Ovis aries: one gene and its partners. The protein of the gene in region 1 binds, or shares a complex with, the protein of each later gene. Links are inferred from orthologs where the notes say so. Each region holds a gene or a part of one and is shown on either strand. Other genes may lie near its edges.

Region 1 (3,931 bases):
ACCTCCGAATCCATCCCAGCCTCAGTCAGAGATCCTGCCAGAGGCAAGGCTGGGGAGGTGGGATGGGTGAGAACACTGGCTAAGATCCTACAGCCAGGATGTTCCAAGCCTCTGGGGTCCCTTTCCCTGCCTTTGACCCCATCCAGAGTCGACTCTGTCCTTCACACACATGCACAGTCCCCCACATCCCTCTCCACTTTCACTAATCTGCTCTCCACTCTCCAGAAGACTACAGCTCAACTCCCAGCATCCTCCATTACCCCCTCCCCACTGGCCCCACCAGGCATCCCTCAGGCCCCACCCCACGCCCCCGGAGTTTCTCAGACCATCAGCCTCATAGCTTTCAAGAATCTTTATTGAACTTGTTCAGTATTGTGCTCACATCTGGAGGAGCCAGGGTGAGGTGATGCGCCCACCGCCAACAGGGAAGACCCCAGCTGGCAGCCCACCCCTGCCCCACACCTGAGGAGCCTTCATTTTTTCCGGGGCTGCTTATCAGGGAACCCTTCGAAGAACTCATTGCACATCATGGCGATGCAGGACAGGAAGACGCAGTACTCCTGGAAGTCCACCTCGTTGTCCTTGTTGCAGTCCAGGTTGCTCATCAGTTTCTGGAACGCAGCTTCATCCGTCCTTTTCTGCAGGAGGAAGAGGCTACAGGTGGAAACCGGAAGCGAGGTCGGGGTCGGGAAGTGGAGCAGAGCTAGCACCGGGTGAGGTCTGAGCTCCAGACGGGAGCTCAGGAGGACACAGGCACCCCTGCGGGGCCTGGCTCTGGACCTCCAGCCCTAGGGGCTAAGCTACCCCTCAGATGAAGTCTGAGGACCTGGGTACAACTGCGTAAAGGAGACCACAGCCTCTTCTGCCAAGGTCATTTTAAGAGTCCAATCATACAGTGGTCATGAAAGCAATAGATAAACAGCGTAAAGGTTGATACAGACGGCATCTGGGATTGCTCAAGAGAATTCTGTAAGTGTGTGAGTGTCTCCAGAGAACTGTATCTTCACGTCCACAAGCCAAACAGAAACTCAAAAATGGTTTATGGGGCGGGGGGATGGTGATAAAATAGAAATATGAGGTTAACAGATATACACTACTGTATATAAAAGAGATAAGCAACAAGGATTTACTGTATCACACAGGTAACTGTATTCAATATTGTGTAATACCTTATAATGGAAAAAAATCTGAAAAAATAGATATGTGTATATATAGCTAAATCACTTTGCTGTACACCTGAAATAAACACAGTGTAAATCAACGATATTTCAACTTAAAAAAAAAAGGCATATAACTTTCACAGAATCTTAAAAAAAAACAACAACAAGTTTCATTGCTGGAGTGATGGCAAGAGTTTGACCATCGCAGTTCATGATCTCAGCTTTAAACACGGACTTCCTTGGGAAGTTACTTAGCCTCTCTGAGCATCAGTTTCCCTCCAGGGAAGTTGTACAGAGCACCATACCCTATCTGCTCACTCTGCCCTCTTTCTGAGGGTGCTAGGAAGTGAGCTGTGGGTGCTCACCGTGCTTTGGCCCCAGGCAGCCAGGGTAAGCTCTCTGCCTGGAAATTGCCCGTGTCAGCAGCAGATGCCAGCTGTAGGTAATGCTTCACAGAGGACGGGTGCCTCCCAGGCAGTATCACTCACCCCTAAAAAGCTGGGCAGCTCCCGGGTCAGCAGCTCCTTTAGCTCAGACTTGTTGAGCTTGAACTTGTCACCCTCCTTGCCCGAGTACTTGTGGAAGGTGGACACCATCACATCGAGGGCCTTCTCCAGGGGGTACGCCATGGCAGCAATCAGGAGCTGGGGGCAGGGTCACAGAGACAACCTTATTTTCCCCACCCCACCCCCAGCTATGTATTTGTAAATGCCCCCCACTCCCATCCCTCAGGGAGCACATTGGTGACACTGCTCCCATCCAGAAAGGGGTTCAGCTCCTAGCGGGAGAGGGAAATGTATGCTTGGGGCAGTGAACCCCTGCAGGGCCTGGTGCTCAGGCTCCGGGTTCCAGGCAGCCAGCTCCCCAGGAGCACTTTCTCCACCCTCACTTGGTCCATTCACTCACTGGTACGCTCAGCCCACAGCAGCCCCACCCCAGCCCATTCTTTCCCCCTCCCAACACTGGGCTGGGTGAGGCTGCTGGAGGCTTGCCCAGGGGCCTAGCGGAAAAAACCAGTGCATAGGGAGGGGCAGGGTGAGGTGGCAGAGGCACGGATGCAGGGCAGGGACGGGGAGGCCACCCTCCCTTGGGCTGGGCTGCTGGTGCAGGACCGAGGCTCCTAGGACATAACCAGCCAGAGCCCACAGGCGCCTTCTGCCTTCACTGTGCTTTCCACATCCAAGTGTGCCACCCAGCAGACACCAGCCCACACACCCACCAGTGTGTACAGCAGCAACAACGCACGCAAGCCCCGGCATCACAGAACCCCTCAGACAGTTCCCACCAGCCACCTCACACTTGTTGTTCTTTCCTGAGTGCACACGCACTTGTGCACACGCACACCACCCACCCCAGAGCCTCCACATCGGAATCTCACATCTGGACCCGTTTAGTGCCTCTGGCCCCCATCCACCTCCCTTTCTCCTGCACCCAGCCTCGGCCTGACACCTCTTGCATGCCAGTCAGGCGACCACAACTCACCAAGAGAGAGGAAGTGCTGGGGAGAGATGATGGGGAGAGAGGAAGAATGGGGAGAACCCAGCAGTCTGACCTATTTATACCCGGGCCAGGCCCTGCCCATGGCAGGGGATGCGGGAGAACAGGACCCAGCCCTCCTATCGTGGGCTGATGTGGTGAACGCCACGGCCCCCCTCCACCCCCCTCCACCCGCCCAGCCTGGAAAGCTAGCTTCCTGCCCCAGCAGGCACAGACGGACATGGGAGAGCCCCAGGGGCACAGGCAGGGGCCTGGAGGGTGGGTGTGCACAGCTCAGCTCGAGTTTTAGGGAGCTGGGGGGAGGGACAGGTTGTGCCTGGGGCATGAGGGACAAGGAGGACGTGGTCCCACCAGGCAGCCAGCATAGAGGGGTGGAAGGTGGCAGGTGGGAAACTGCCCTGGGATGCGGCAGCCTGAGAAGACAGGGAGGGCCCCTCAGTTTCGGTGCTGGGGACGGCTCACGCTGCCCTGCACCCCTCCCCAAAGAGCTTCCTACCTTGTGGAGTGAGCCCCGGGACAGTGGGAGCTGGGGGTCTGGGAGGAGGAACTGGCTAACACCCAAAGGAGGCTTGGGGACCCCCCGCAGGCACATCCTTGCAGAAAGGCGCTGGATGCCAGAGTGATGGAATGGGGAAGGAGAGGCATGCCTTGGGGCTCAGGGATGGACTGAAGGGACCGAGAGCAGTGGGGTGGCAGAGGGCGTTGGGAGGGGGCTTAGATTTGGCAGAGGGCTTTGGGAGGGGGCTTAGATTTGGGCTGGGTGTCAGGGATGAAGAGGGCAGGGAGCGGAGGAAAGTTAGAGGTGATGCAGCACAAAATGAGGGGAGGCAAGGATCAAGGGAACCTCCCAGGGTAAGGTATGAGCTCAGGGGTTGAGGGAGGGTCAGGAGTCGGGGGTTAACCCCTCAGGTGGCTGTGGCTTCAAGGAGAGGGGTCTGCCTGAAGGTCTCTCTCCTTCCCCCTTCAGCAGCAGAGCACCCCTCCCCAAATGATCAGGGAGCAACACCCTAGTCCAACCCCTGATCAGATTAGTGCTGCACTCTGGGCTCTCATAGCCCAGGGGCCGGGGACAGACCCGCCCTCTCCCCTACGGCCCCACCCTCCTCCCAGAACATCTGGTCTGGGGGACTGAGTTTGACCCTCCTCTCACCTCCTTCACAGCCCAAGGGAGCTTCTTCTTCAGAGACCTGCCCGATACAGACAGACAGACAGACAGAGAGCCCCCCCCGCAAACCATCCTCCCATGGGCATCGTCCCCGAGTTGCCCCCATGCC
Region 2 (3,500 bases), on another chromosome or scaffold:
TGAACAATGCTTAAAAAAAAATCTGTTTTGACTTCTGGCAGTACCACTGGCAATATCTGCCGTATGGTACAGTAGACATTGCCCTTGTGATGGGAACTGTGGACAGTCTGTGGAGAGCTTGGGCCAAGTTTGAAATTGCCAAGGTCACTTTTAAATATAGAGAAAAAACACTCAGAATTTTCCTGTGTTAAAATGGGCATATCAGTGATGCAAGAAAACAAATCTATGTTGCTGTACCTATTTTACATTTCAACAATGTTAAGAAATAACATTTCTTCCAATGCATGAGTTATTTTTTAGACTATATTTACATCCTCGAGATTGACAAACTGCCCCTTAAAATATGTGAAGATGCTTGGTAGTCTCTGTATAATATTCTTATAGAATGTTGTGTAGACCTTTTGCTAAGGGAAGGAATTTTGGTTTTGCAAGCACCTCTACAAATCATGATTAAAAACTCTGGGAGAAGAGGCTTTGGCTCATAGATTAGATTGAGGAATAAAATTCAGAATTAACTATTAACCTGAGGCTTAGCTCATATTATACAAACTACTTTTTCAGGGGCACATAAACTCTAATAAGTTTAATTAATAGCTGACACACTTCTCATGTGGATAAGTAAGTTTCTTATTGTATTAACACCTTATAATTGATTTACATTTTAAACAGTGGTAATTCTGCTTAGTTCAAAGTGATATTTCCATATTCGGAAAGATGAGTATTAGAGAATCCTGATTATTAAATCTTGACTTTGATCATGAAGCCAGCTTTGAAATACATGTTTCACTGAGTCCTTTCAAGCTATCTGGCACGCCAGCTCAAAAGTGTATATATTAAATTTGAATACATCACCCATCAAATTCTCATTCCTTAATAAAGTGTTGGTGTCTAGGTTTATTTGGCGCTTCATTATTTCCTTTTGCTTCTCTAAAATGCCTGAAGAGTGCATAGTAATCAAGCAAAAATGGAAGTACAAGAATGAAATTTTTAACATTAACCCAGTTTTACATTTCAAAGAGGTAAAGCTAAAAATTTTATCTTATCTATACCTTTCCCTCATAAAAGACTTATTTCAGTCTAACAATGCTGGCTGCCAACAACAGCTCAAAATCTCTATATTCCTTTATTTTAAATTAATGAGCAGAATTGTGTAATAAAGTAAATGATTTCTTATCTGTGAAAATAATGGCTGATTATTAGAGGAGTTGAAAAATAAAGAAACAAAGAGAAGATGAAGTTATTCATTTTATAAACCCATCGCCAAAAAGGGCTGTATTCTAACATGTTGGTATATTCCATTACTGTCTCTTCCCATTTAACTATATGTTTATATATAGTGGGGAAATATATATATATATATATATGTGTGTGTGTGTGTGTGTGTGTGTGTGTGTGTGTGTGTGTGTATGTGTATATATATATATATATATATATAGTTGAGCTAAAAATAAAAAATGCCAGTTAAACTGTCCTTTATTCTAGTAAAGCTTTTTTTTTTTTTTAAAGGAATAGAATATAACATTACCTTGTGCCAAGGACTCAGTACAGATCCCTCAGGAGGAATGCAGAAAGGGACGCACTGTAGACCGAACTCATGCGTGCAGTTTACCTGATTGAGTTCAGAGAAGTGGGCTAGTGGCCGGGAGGGGTTTCCCTGCTAATGTCTGTGCTGCCTGGTTCCCAGGGGCTGGGGACTGATGAGGACTCTCTCATTGAGATCATCTGCTCAAGGACCAACCAGGAGCTGCAGGAGATCAACAGAGTCTACAAGGAAAGTGAGTAGCCCCAGGTCCATGGTGCATCCACTCCACCTTGTGTCTGGGACCACTGTCCTGGCCTCCTGGTCTGGTGTTCAGGATAGGATCCCTTGATTCCATGTGTAGAAATACCTGCCATCTGGACTGTCCAGGGGTTTGCTGTGACCAGGTCACTCTCCTCCATCTCCTGATAGCCTGGTCTTTGTGACTACATCCCCCTAAAACTAGTTCAGAAGGATATATGGGAGGGAAAGCAGAGACTATCAAACAAAAGAGATCTGATGGGGAGAAGTAGAAAGTATCCCCCGTGGATTTCATGTACTGAGTGCTGTCCTGTGTCTGCTGAGGCGATTCCCAGACTTGACTGTGGGTCATTGTTTCAAGAGACAGCAGAACCACGTGTGCCAAGCAGTAGAGGAGGCCAGAGGTGGAGTGAGTGATGCAGCATGCCTGGTGTGCGGTACTTCATTTCAACATAGGTGTTGAGTAGGAAAATACAAATTCATTCAAAAGTACCCTTTAATTCTTACTAATTTTTTGCCATTGTGCATTTTCTCAATCAGTGGATATAAAGCACAATTGTGTTTGTGTGTGTGTAGTCCTCCAAATTTTTTCATGTTCTAAATAAGTATAATCAAGAAGTTTGGGAAGTAGTATTTTAGCTAGACAGGAGGTCCCTAATCAAAGGCGAGCTTGAGAATTCCCTGTCTGATCCTGCTCTGTGTATTGCTTGTCACTGATAATAATATAATAATACTAGTTCTGATTTTATGAGGGTAAAATTCCTTCTTGAGAATCCACCCTCATTTTTAGGGGTACATCCACGCTGCCACAGATTTCTGCTTTTCAGAGGCTTAGTGGGCAGAGGATGGGTAGGGTGGCTGGCTGCGTAGGCAGGAGGTGTTAAACCAGATGTGTTGTTTTCCAAGTGTACAAGACCGATCTGGAGAAGGACATTGTTTCCGACACATCTGGCGACTTCCGCAAGCTGATGGTCGCCCTCGCAAAGGTTAGTTTCCGGCTCGTTTCTTTGTCCTTGCTTCCTCCCAAAGCAAGTTACATACCTCATTTTATACTCGGGAGCGAATTAACTCAGTCCTCTGGGCCTGCATCAGAAATTCCAGCTGTATTTTGACAGTGGGTTTGCACTGTCAACTGCAGAGTTGTCATTTTTGTATAATAGGATTTCTTATCCTGCAAAACCGTATGGTCAGGTGGACTTTGGGGCCAGAGGTGGAAGAGGCAGCTCTTAGCTCCTGGCCTGGATTTCTGTGCCAGCCTTGTGACTTGGGGAAAGTCATTTTGCCTCTCTATGTTGTCACATAGGACCCAGTGGGAAGTGACCCTCTTGTTTCTTTCACCTGTTATAATTTCTTAGGGGATGGTTTGCCCAGGTAGTGGTTTGCCTGGGGAGAAGCTCTTTGCTTGTTTGCCAAGGTTAACACATTAATGTAGCTGAAAGGCACTTCCCTTCTAAGTCTGAGTTCTGACCCATGTGCAGTTTAATGACTCTGAGCGCTGCAAGGGAAGAGGAATTTTCATCCAGGAACCCTGAAGACAAGTGGGCACACTCCATCCTGGCCACCTACACCTCCATTCCGCCCTCCCCAGCTCCCTTCTCTACCACCTGCCCTGAGTCTGGTCACCTACCCATCATTTTGAAATCTACTTGTACTGTTTTACTCATACCCTGATCAAAACTCATTTCTGCTGTATCACATACAAACCCTCAACTGCCTCAGG
Region 3 (3,500 bases), on another chromosome or scaffold:
CTGGGGGAGGACACTGTGAGGAAGACCCAGAGGCCTGGCAGCTAAGGCCGTGTGGGCACAGGGTCCTTAGCTGCGGTGGGGGGGCATCGCTGCCCTTACCTGTGTGTCCTGCAGCTGTGACTCCAGAGCAGAGAAGTCCTTGGTGAGCTTGCTAGACTTGCTGTCCGACTGGGTGAGAAGACCCGTCACATTGTCCAGCTCGACCTGTGCGTGGACGGGAGACAAAGCCCCATGAGCTTGACCAGGATTGCTCAGGGCCTACCTCGGCTCTCTCAGCCATGCTGGACCTGAGCTACAGGCTGAACCCCAGGGGGCTCACAGATGAGCCGGGTCATGGAGAGAGCGAGAGAAGACCAGGGGCCCTGGCAGCAGGGGCCAGGACCCAGGCAGTCCGGTGGGGGCCTCACCTGCAGCTTGGAGACCTTGTCGGCCAGCTCTGTGCGCACACGCTCGCCCTCGGTGAACTTCACCTGCAGCTCCTGCAGCTGGGCCTCCACCTTCTTGCGCTTGTGCTCGGTGTCCGCCTTGCCCTGCTGCAGCACCTTCACCTCGTTGGCCAGCTCCCCTCGCTCATTCTCCAGGGTCTGCTTGGCCTTCTCGAGGTTGGCTTTCACCTGCGAGGGGAGAAAGCAAAGACATAAAAGGGGGAGCCTGTGACATGAGGCTGGTTTTCCCAACATCATCAAAGAGCCAGTGGAGCCAGACTCGGAATCTGCCGCCCTGCAGCAAAAGTGACACCAGGCAAGTCCAGGGGGCAGCGAGCTGGCGAGGACCGTGGACTTGGAGGGCTCAGGCCGGATGTGGACTCATCACCCAGCTGGGACAGGACGCCTGGCGCGTGGCCTCACCTGAGGACCACTGCTCCCCTGGCTCTCAAACCATCCCTGCCTGGCCTCCCGCACAGGGCACAGGGAATGTCCAAGGGCAAGACACTGTCATCGCTGATGTTAAGATTTTAGCATTGTTATTATAGGCTTAGGGAAACTGTAACTGTTCATAGTTAGACTTCCAGGAAAGCCTCTTAGAAATTTGATGTTCACCATAACACTGAAATGTTCTTCCAAAAAATATAAAAGCCAAGTTTACAGAACAAACACAATCCCAATCTATTCTATATCAAGCCAGTCACAGTATCAAAGGCAAGTTCAAGGGTAAACCAGACCCCAAGTGCATGCAAAAGCTCTTTGGGTGAAAACAGCTAGAGGAAAAGGCAAGGCTTCAACCTGCCCAGAACCAGGAGGAAGTCAAAGGGAAACAGAGGGACAAGGCATGTTTCTGAAAATATTGTACAGGCTGCCACACAGAAGAGCCTCTGTCTTCTTGGGCTACCAACAAGGGTGGCCGTGAGCTGGAAACCACAGGAGGCAGGACTGGGCTTGTTCAGGAACTGCCTGGTCACAGTCCCCTGGCTGAGAAACCAGCCGGGTCAACATCCCCAGGGTTCTCCCTGAAGATTCCAGTTGACCATGTGTTGGAGGTGTTCTAAAGAAGGGCTGGGCTTCAGGAAAGGGACCCAGTGGCCTCTGAGACTTGTTTCAGAGTCACTCCAATTCCATGAAACTTTGGTCTGGCAGGGTGTTGAACAGGATAATAATGGTAAGACTAGAACAACTTACTGAGCCCTTACCAACTGTGCACTGTCACATGTTACCAACTCCAACTCTCACGTAATTGCATGCAACGGGCTCTCACTAGCCTCCCTCACAGAAGAGGAAACTGAAGCACAGAGGGACCTGTATGGCCCCCAAGGCACGCAGTCAGGAAGGGCTGGAGCCTGGACTACGCGAGGGTCCCCCAACCCTCCCCCCCGCCCACAGTGGCCGAGCCTCATGGTCCCGGGGGGCCCACGCACCCGCTTCGTCTGCTCCAGCTGCTCAGCCAGCTCCTCCACGGCCTGCGAGTGCTTCTGTCTCATGTCCTGGATCTGGGCCTCATGGGTCCTGGCCTCCTCCTCAAGAGTCTTCTTCAGGATGTTCACTTCTTGTTCACGTTTGGACCTGAACAGAGAAATGCCTTCAGGAGGGAGGCCAGGGCCCAGGAGCGACGCTGCCCTGGCAGCACAGAGTCCGGTGGGGAGCACTGGCCATTCCAGGCAGCTTTCTGCCTGCTGGCTTCCCTCCTCAGCTGTCCATCCTATAGCACAGGCTCACAGACACACTTTTTTTCTCTCCATTAAAAAAAAAAATGTAATATAGACCTTTTATGCAAGGAATTGGATTTTATTCTAAATATGGGGAGCCAAGAGTAATTTATAAGATTTTTTTCTGGCTGCACCACAAAGCATGCTGGAGCTTAGCTCCCCAACCAGCGACTGAACCATGCCCGCTGCAGTGGAAGCACAGAGTCTTAACCACTAGGGAGCCAGGAAGTCCCCACAGACACACCTTGTAGGGGCTTCCGCAGCCTTTCAGCCTTAAAGCCCACCCTTGCCTCAGCCCAACTCCAAGCCAGGTTCTTCAGCTCTAGAGAGAAGCTGCTGAGGCACCATCAGCTTCCATCTGTTCTTGTTGTTCACTCACTAAACTGTGTCTGACACTTTGCAACTCCACGGACTACATCACACCAGGCCTCCCAGTCCCTCACTATCTCCTGGAGCTTCCAGGCTCCATGACAACAGGCCACACTGTGTGTGTGCAGAGGCCCTGGGGTCCCCCCTCTGAGGCCAGGGGCCCCCTTTCCCTGCACCACCACCCCCATCCTCAGTGACAAGGCAGTCAGCCCCAAGGCACACCTGAGCTCCTGCTGCGCAGCTGTGGAATCCAGAGTGTCCTCCAGCTCCGTTTTCAGAGCCTCCAGCTCTTCCCCGAGGTCTCGTTTCTGCTTCTCGGCTTTATTCCTAGCAGCACGCTCAGATTCCAGGTCTTCTTGGAGTTCCGAAATCTGAGATTCCAGCTCCCGAATCTTCTTCAGGGCCATGTTCTTCTGGGTGGTTTCTTCTTCCACTCTGCCAAAGAGAGCACCAACGTCAGGATGAGGTTGCTGTCACCTTCAGAGAGCAGAGTCTGCAGAAAAGGCTTAGAGAGATGCAGCCGAAGCCAGTCCTGCTGGTGACAATCATAGCCCCTTAGGAGCTCTTCTTGGCAAAGACACTGAGGCATCTGGAAGACTTAAGGGCTATTCCACTAGGAGACTTCAAAAGCCTCACAGAGGAAAAATTTCATTTTCCAAATTCAGTGCTTTAAACATTTTTTTTTATTGAAATGTTAAATGAAAAAACAAAAAGGAAATAAAATGCTACAGTCCATGATTACAATATCAAAGTAGAAACACAAATGTGCTCTGGACTTAGGGTGATAATCGAACATTAGAGCAGCTTCATGAGTTGTAACAAATGTATCACTCTTGTGGGGGCAGTTGCTAATGGCGGGTTCTTGGGAAATCACTACAACTTTTGCTCAATTTTCTTATTAACTTAAAAATGCACCCCCAAATAAAATCTATTTTTAAAAAGCATACCTGTAGCCATGAAATTTTATAAAAGAAAGAATTGCTGTGATTGG

What was found. The genes of interacting proteins can lie anywhere in the genome.
Region 2: the proteins of S100A4 (region 1) and ANXA2 are in contact, whole or in part, in a crystal structure (PDB 5LPU), measured with the Homo sapiens proteins. The link is inferred for Ovis aries from reciprocal best matches to the Homo sapiens genes S100A4 and ANXA2. Residues at the interface, in NP_002952.1 of Homo sapiens: Lys35, Leu38, Pro43, Ser44, Phe45, Leu46, Gly47, Lys48, Arg49, Thr50, Asp51, Ala54, Phe55, Lys57, Leu58, Asn61, Leu62, Gln73, Phe78, Cys81, Ile82, Met84, Met85, Glu88, Phe89, Phe93; in NP_001002857.1 of Homo sapiens: Leu13, Glu14, Pro21, Ser22, Ala23, Tyr24, Ser26, Val27, Lys28, Tyr30, Thr31, Asn32, Phe33, Glu36, Arg37, Leu40, Thr44, Gln69, Asp70, Phe73, Arg77, Arg78.
Region 3: the proteins of S100A4 (region 1) and MYH9 are in contact, whole or in part, in an NMR structure (PDB 2LNK), measured with the Homo sapiens proteins. The link is inferred for Ovis aries from reciprocal best matches to the Homo sapiens genes S100A4 and MYH9. Residues at the interface, in NP_002952.1 of Homo sapiens: Leu38, Ser44, Phe45, Leu46, Gly47, Lys48, Arg49, Thr50, Asp51, Ala54, Phe55, Lys57, Leu58, Asn61, Leu62, Ser64, Gln73, Glu74, Cys76, Val77, Phe78, Ser80, Cys81, Ile82, Met84, Met85, Cys86, Glu88, Phe89, Phe90; in NP_002464.1 of Homo sapiens: Thr1906, Ala1909, Met1910, Glu1913, Val1914, Ser1915, Leu1917, Lys1918, Lys1920, Leu1921, Arg1922, Asp1925, Leu1926, Pro1927, Phe1928, Val1929, Val1930, Pro1931, Arg1932, Met1934, Ala1935.

What each region holds. Positions count from the first base shown.
Region 1 is NC_056054.1:104,001,921-104,005,851, forward strand, and holds S100A4 (protein S100-A4), read right to left. Parts: upstream 2,801-3,931; 5' UTR 2,643-2,800; intron 1,805-2,642; 5' UTR 1,790-1,804; coding exon 1,649-1,789; intron 639-1,648; coding exon 474-638; 3' UTR 338-473; downstream 1-337. UniProt on the Homo sapiens protein: Calcium-binding protein that plays a role in various cellular processes including motility, angiogenesis, cell differentiation, apoptosis, and autophagy.
Region 2 is NC_056060.1:48,019,923-48,023,422, forward strand, and holds part of ANXA2 (annexin A2), read left to right. Parts: intron 1-1,684; coding exon 1,685-1,775; intron 1,776-2,686; coding exon 2,687-2,766; intron 2,767-3,500. UniProt on the Homo sapiens protein: Calcium-regulated membrane-binding protein whose affinity for calcium is greatly enhanced by anionic phospholipids. It binds two calcium ions with high affinity. May be involved in heat-stress response.
Region 3 is NC_056056.1:180,372,925-180,376,424, forward strand, and holds part of MYH9 (myosin-9), read right to left. Parts: intron 2,945-3,500; coding exon 2,732-2,944; intron 1,998-2,731; coding exon 1,853-1,997; intron 615-1,852; coding exon 408-614; intron 205-407; coding exon 100-204; intron 1-99. UniProt on the Homo sapiens protein: Cellular myosin that appears to play a role in cytokinesis, cell shape, and specialized functions such as secretion and capping. Required for cortical actin clearance prior to oocyte exocytosis. Promotes cell motility in conjunction with S100A4.